Linked DNA regions of Arabidopsis thaliana. The protein of the gene in region 1 interacts with the protein of each later gene in a pairwise test. Each region holds a gene or a part of one and is shown on either strand. Other genes may lie near its edges. The genes, in order: ESE3 and CIPK3.

Region 1 (3,743 bases):
TGAAACAAAGAATAGTTACCTAAGTAAAAGCGAATATGTTAGACATATCAAAATTATTTTTGTTTAATTAAAATTACAGTTGTAGTAATGTTGTTATTTCAAAGGTACATATATATTTCCATTATGTAACTTGCTGATATTAGCATTCAGTACCATCCTTCTTTTACTACACCACCGAGAGAGATAAGTTACTTTCTTTTTTTTCGTTTTCTTATGGACATGGATGCAAATATACAGACAAAAAAAAGCATATGTTGAATAATTATTAGGGTTAAGAATGATTATTAGTAGGGTGAAAATGATCAATTATTTGATAAAAAGTTAATGACCTTCTCTAGTTGTTTTTCTTGTCGTCATAATTGCGGTCTAGGATTCTTTCATCAATTTGATACTGGATTGAACTAATAATATTTGGCACTTGTTATTTTGATGTATCCATTCTACCTACACACTCTTTTGCCCAACATATTCTTCTATTACCTCTTATTCCAATTATAATTGACTCTAAAAGGATATAGTCTCAATTGGAGATTATTTTTTTTTTAAATATGCGTGCGACTGAATATGATCGACATAACCTTTACTTTTATTTGATGAAACTTTGTCGAACAAAAGATAAATTGGCAAACAAAAACATCCATATATAAACCCAAATAAGAAGTGGTTACTATGTGACATTCCCTATACAATTAACATATACTACTATCTAAAAATTGTAGATAAGTTTATGCAATATTATACTAATTCCCTCTCCAAGTTTCAGTAATGGGCATAATCACATATTTATTAATTATTAAACCTATGTTTTTAATTGAAAAATAATGTATTAGAGTTTTTTTTTTAATAGGTCGCAGACTCGTAGGTAAACTGTACACTCAGAAATCATGGGTATGATGACAATACATTAAGGTTTGTTTCAATAATAACAATACAAAATAATATTAAAGAAGGGAAAAGAGAAGATGATAATCGAAGATGGTTTTGGGTGTTTGATTGAGTCATTATCAAAGGCTCACATGGGTGAAGAATGGTGATGAAAGAGTCTCGCTAGTTATCAAACTATATATTTTCCAATTATTTATCGTTATTATTAATTAGTTGGGGAAAAATTTGGCAGTATCTATGATATAGAGACATGTTGTGATGATCAAACCCATGTGAAAATAGGTACAGTGGGTTTGAAGTTTCACCGCAGCCAAATCTCTTTGGATCCAACTTGTTCACAATGGGAAAATTAAAATAATTGATAAATATATATGCTATATACGTAGGGTTGTTATTATATTTAGAGCTATTTATTAGTTTTATCTTAAAAATACCCCATAACTTAGGATATTATAACTATAATTGTCTAAGTATAATATGTGTAACTTGGGACAAAAGGAAAAGAAAAAGGTTTGGATTAAATTATCTTAGGTTTGATTTCTAAACCGTTTTAATTAATTTATATTTGTTGATAAAAAATTAGCTTTTGTTACAGAAATAAATTCATATGAAACTATTGAACATTTGTAATTTTGTATTCTAACAAAAACTGTGATAAGTTTGTTAATTCATAATTTAAATTCTATTTTAACTTTTAGATAAATTACGATAATACTTTCCAAAAAATATCTCTAAATAAAAAAAACACTTTTCCGACAGTTTAGCATGTAGTTTCGAAGCTTTCAATTTTCACTATAATATGTGACAGAATTAGATAATCCATTTGCCCATGTCGCAGCAACTTCGAATACAACAAATGAAGTAAATTTAAGAATACTTTAAGTTAAATAAATTAATATAACTCTCTCTCTCACATCAAACAAAATCCATGAGATTTTCTGAGTCGTATTGGTAATGGTGTGGGTCCAATTTAGGACCAAATTGATTGCCAGTTTATTGCCAAAGAAAATTTTAACACAAAAACATTTCTCTCTCTCATGAAGCTAAAGCCAACACTACTTATATAGCTACCCTTCACTCTTCCAAAAACGCTCCTTCACTCTCATCATTCTTTCTTCTTTCAAAACATTTCCACAAACACACCAAACTCACCTGAAACCCTATTTCCATTTACCATTCACACTAATGGCACGACCACAACAACGCTTTCGAGGCGTTAGACAGAGGCATTGGGGCTCTTGGGTCTCCGAAATTCGTCACCCTCTCTTGTAAAAACTCTCCCTCATCATCCTCTCAAATTACGAAATTACCCTCGGTCGCTTTTTATTTGAGTAATGCTAAACTTTTTTGTTTTTTTTTTGTTTTTTTTAGGAAAACAAGAATCTGGCTAGGGACGTTTGAGACAGCGGAGGATGCAGCAAGGGCCTACGACGAGGCGGCTAGGCTAATGTGTGGCCCGAGAGCTCGTACTAATTTCCCATACAACCCTAATGCCATTCCTACTTCCTCTTCCAAGCTTCTATCAGCAACTCTTACCGCTAAACTCCACAAATGCTACATGGCTTCTCTTCAAATGACCAAGCAAACGCAAACACAAACGCAAACGCAGACCGCAAGATCACAATCCGCGGACAGTGACGGTGTGACGGCTAACGAAAGTCATTTGAACAGAGGAGTAACGGAGACGACAGAGATCAAGTGGGAAGATGGAAATGCGAATATGCAACAGAATTTTAGGCCATTGGAGGAAGATCATATCGAGCAAATGATTGAGGAGCTGCTTCACTACGGTTCCATTGAGCTTTGCTCTGTTTTACCAACTCAGACGCTGTGAGAAATGGCCTTGTCGTTTTAGCGTATTCTTTTCATTTTTATTTTTGTTTCCACAAAAACGGCGTCGTAAGTGATGAGAGTAGTAGTGAGAGAAGGCTAATTTCAAGACATTTTGATCTGAATTGGCCTCTTTTGAAACACTGATTCTAGTTTCTATAAGAGCAATCGATCATATGCTATGTTATGTATAGTATTATAAAAAAATGTTATTTTCTGATTTTTCTCCATGTAAACCAATTGAACACTTGAAACCAAAAACTAAAAATTACACATGTGTTCGTGTGTGAAAAAGTGGGAATTTAATGTAGTGAAAAGATACAACAATGAGAAGAAAGATATCTAAAGTAGTGAAGAGAGATGAGAGTTTGAATATTTTGAGTTAGCTTTTGGTTTTGTTCCATGCATGTTCTAATTTTTCAACGGTGGGCCTTCATTTTTTTATTTTTATTTTTGGTAATTTGGGATTGCTGCTAAGTAGAAAAAGAGTGTCCCTAGCTGTGGCTTGACGACCATAAAATCCAACTTTTTAATTAGAGGGATTTGTGTTTTCTAGCACCTTATATTAAAATAGAAAAAATAATTTAGCTACATAAAATAGGTGTTTGACTGCAATTACTCTGTTTCCTTAGAACACTCTGTTCTTCGAACAGTCCAAACCTATTATTTATTTGTTTTGTTTGTAATGCGAATAAAAGGAAACTAGTGTTTTCCGACCACTACTTTAACTTTTGTAACAAAATATGATTTACATTTACTACCTTAAGGTTGAATACGAAAATAAAAATATTCTCTAGCAAAGAATGGAAAACATAACATGAGCAGGCTTTAATATATCCTTGACGATCGGTTGATTCTTCTTGCATACATATACGCGATAATATAATATCAGTTGTTAGCAACAAGCCAAAATAGCTAAATAATGGCAATTCAATATGGTTAAAGCTCGTTGCGATATAACCAGTACACATGCAATGCATCTAAATTGCAGCAGACAAATGATTTGACGTTAGGAATTATTTGGATTT
Region 2 (3,600 bases), on another chromosome or scaffold:
ACGTCAGTGGGAAGAAGCAGCGACAGACTTCTTTGAGGCTTTTAAAAATTACGATGAAGCTGGCAACCAAAGACGTATACAGTGCCTGAAGTATGTTTCCTATGATCTTCTCATCTCTTTATCCTTTCTTATTTGATACCCTCTGGTCACTTGATTATTAACATGGTATAAAAGTAAATATAAAAGATGTAATGGATGATTAAAGCAAAGCATATTATTTAGATTTGACTTGGGACATGGTTTTAGGTGCATATGAGCATTATTCGATTACTCTTGTCCAGTAACTTTCTGTGATCGGTCCAAACATGTTAGAGTTAATGATCTTTGTTTTTTTTTTCTTTTGGCTATGCAAAGGTATCTTGTTCTGGCGAATATGCTGATGGAGTCAGAAGTGAATCCGTTTGATGGCCAAGAGGCAAAGCCGTAAGTCATTTCCGTATATATTTTTTGTTGAACACTCGTTTTGGTTCGTTGCTTCATAGTTGGCTCTCTGCAGGTACAAAAACGACCCTGAGATTTTGGCAATGACAAATTTGATCGCAGCATATCAACGAAATGAGATCATAGAGTTTGAGAGAATACTAAAGGTAAAAAGTGAAGTATTATTGGGTTGTTTTTTCAACTCATTATATATGAAAACGACACTCATGGAATGGTTTTTGGAATGTAGAGTAACCGGAGGACGATAATGGATGATCCATTCATCAGAAACTACATGGAAGATCTGCTGAAGAAAGTGAGAACACAAGTGTTACTGAAGCTGATTAAGCCATACACAAAGATAGGGATTCCGTTCATATCAAAGGAACTGAACGTGCCAGAGACGGATGTGACGGAGTTACTAGTGTCGCTGATACTCGACAGCAGAATCGATGGTCACATTGATGAAATGAACCGTTACTTACTGAGAGGCGACAGTGGCAATGGAAGGAAGTTGCATAAGGCGGTTGATAAATGGAACTCACAGCTCAAGTCTCTTTCTTCAAATATCACCAGCCGAGTCTGTTAACTTGGAAACCTCTCTTTTGGATAGATTTTGTGATTTGGCGTTGATTCTTTGTGGATTATCTGTTTCTCTTCACATAGCTGGATTTGATGGAGTTTATAAACCACTTCAATGCCAAGAAAAAGGATTTGAAACTTTTCTTCATTCTCATTTTTAAAATTGATTTCTTAACTTTGCAGCAACTAGATAGTAATTGCAAGCGATGGGTGATATGCACCGGAACTCTTACAAATAACGTGGATGTCTTTTTCGAGTAAGGTTACGACTATGAATATTAAAAGTGAAACAAATCTGAACAAGAAAATTAGGTTCGAATAATTTAATTAGCTTTTAATTTGTCAATCTTTCTGGATCTTTGCTTGTTGTTACACACTGGCCAGTGGGCCAGTTGCCACTGATTAAATTTTATAATAACCATTCAACTCAAAGTAAACTCTGCACTATAACTCTCATATATCAAATGTCAGTCAAGTTGAGACTGTTAAAGCGAAGCTGCATAAAATGTGTTTGTCCATATAAAAATTGAACATTATTATATATAAAAATACAAACTTATCTGGTGGTATACCATCTAGATTAGATCCTAGTATTGTCCTTTTTTTTTTACAACAGATTAGTATCTTTTACATGTTCAATCTTTTGTGGAAGACAAAATTACTTAAATCGAAAAATCTTGTTAGTTATTGTCACTATCAGTAAGTCAATAAACAAACATTCATCACAAAAACAAAAAAACAAAATCTTCACTAGTCACAACAAAATTCGCCCCAATTCTTTGATCCATTAAAAAAAACTAATATTATCATTTTTAATCATTATTATTTCAGAATTGTTTGGCAAAAATAATTCAACATTAAAAAAAGAAATTTAATATCAAAATAAAATAAAAGAAAAGAAAAGAGAAAACAGATCCGAATTGAGTTCATCATCTTAAAACTTTGAAATCGGTTACTGTGCCTTTTTTTTTTTTTTTTTTTTTAGTGGTTACAAGTTACAAAACTCAAAAAAAGACCAAAGACAGCAATTAATTTTTGTTTCTTTCTGTTCTAAGGATCTTTGTCTGCTACTGAAACTCCTTAAAGCAAAACTGTAACTTCTCACCAAAAACGAATTTTTCCAACAAAAATTTAATAATCAAAATAAATCTTCTTCTTCTTCTTCATCGTTTATCACGACCTCTGTCTCTTCGTCTCTCTCAAAAGCCATTTTAAATCTCTCTCTTTCTCACTCAATCTCTCTGTAGCTATCAGATCTTCTCTTATGTTGATCCCCAACAAAAAATTAAGGTTCTTTTTTGCTTTTTAAATAAGTAATATATATATATATATATATATATATATATATATATATATAAGATTGAGATATTCTCTGTCTTGCTTCTTCTTTACCCTTTTCTTGTTTCCAATCAAATCCTCTAAAGTTTCGTTCTTTGTTCTAAGTTTTCTGAAGGAGTGATATTTGTTTGTGGTGTGGTTAGAGAAATGAATCGGAGACAGCAAGTGAAACGTAGAGTAGGTAAATATGAAGTTGGAAGAACAATTGGAGAAGGAACGTTTGCTAAAGTTAAGTTTGCTAGAAACTCTGAAACTGGAGAACCTGTTGCTCTCAAGATTCTTGATAAAGAGAAAGTTCTCAAGCATAAAATGGCTGAACAGGTTTTTGTTATTATTGAATTATGGATACTCTGCTTTCGCATTGCGGTTTTTTATCGGTTGATTTTGATCTTGCTTGTGTTTTTTTGTTGAATTTTACAGATTAGAAGAGAGATAGCTACTATGAAGTTGATAAAACATCCAAATGTTGTTCAATTATATGAGGTAATTAACACTTCTTTAGATAAATGTGTTATTTGATTATGTACTATGTACTTGGAAATTACTTACTTCGAAATTGTACTGGTTGTTGTTGTTGCAGGTGATGGCAAGTAAGACGAAAATATTTATCATCTTGGAGTATGTTACAGGAGGAGAACTCTTTGATAAGATTGTAAGTTAGTTACCACAATTATAAATGGTTGTGATTCTGTGATGTCACATTATAGTTGTGAAATCTGATAGTGATAACTTATGAATGAAGGTAAATGATGGGCGGATGAAAGAAGATGAGGCGCGGAGATATTTCCAACAGCTTATACATGCTGTGGACTACTGTCATAGCAGAGGGGTCTACCATAGAGACCTCAAGGTACATACATTGTTTTTATAGATGGTAGGACTGAAACATGGTATATTGATAGAGAAGTTACCTATGCATATATTATGTGCAGTAAGCCAGTAATTGACTATTGTAATGTGATTTTGCAGCCTGAAAATTTACTATTGGACTCCTATGGAAACCTCAAGATCTCAGATTTTGGATTAAGTGCTTTGTCCCAACAAGTCAGGGTAATGACCATCTGTTTCCATAAGTATTTTACTGTTCCAAGAAGTGGTTTCATTTTTCCTAAGAACTTACGGATTTTGTTGTCAAAAATTATATACATATATCTATTCTTAAACATGGTTTATATGCTTGGGGATATCAGGATGATGGACTCTTGCATACATCGTGTGGAACACCAAACTACGTTGCTCCTGAGGTCTGCCTAAAACAAA

The links.
Region 2: the proteins of ESE3 (region 1) and CIPK3 interact in binary tests that used the Arabidopsis thaliana proteins (3 or more experiments, as listed by UniProt).

The regions. Positions count from the first base shown.
Region 1 is NC_003076.8:8,705,983-8,709,725, reverse strand, and holds ESE3 (Integrase-type DNA-binding superfamily protein), read left to right. Parts: upstream 1-1,840; 5' UTR 1,841-2,070; coding exon 2,071-2,153; intron 2,154-2,256; coding exon 2,257-2,719; 3' UTR 2,720-2,981; downstream 2,982-3,743.
Region 2 is NC_003071.7:11,517,093-11,520,692, reverse strand, and holds the start of CIPK3 (CBL-interacting protein kinase 3), read left to right. Parts: upstream 1-2,000; 5' UTR 2,001-2,266; coding exon 2,267-2,292; exon of another isoform or gene 2,293-2,483; coding exon 2,484-2,661; intron 2,662-2,760; coding exon 2,761-2,823; intron 2,824-2,920; coding exon 2,921-2,992; intron 2,993-3,082; coding exon 3,083-3,190; intron 3,191-3,309; coding exon 3,310-3,390; intron 3,391-3,530; coding exon 3,531-3,584; intron 3,585-3,600. Other genes in the region: FUS12 (proteasome family protein), read left to right, coding at 1-90, 355-423, 497-587, 671-1,009. UniProt on the Arabidopsis thaliana protein: Involved in the resistance to some abiotic stresses (e.g. high salt, hyperosmotic stress) in young seedlings, by regulating the expression of several stress-inducible genes (cold- and salt-induced genes but not drought-responsive genes).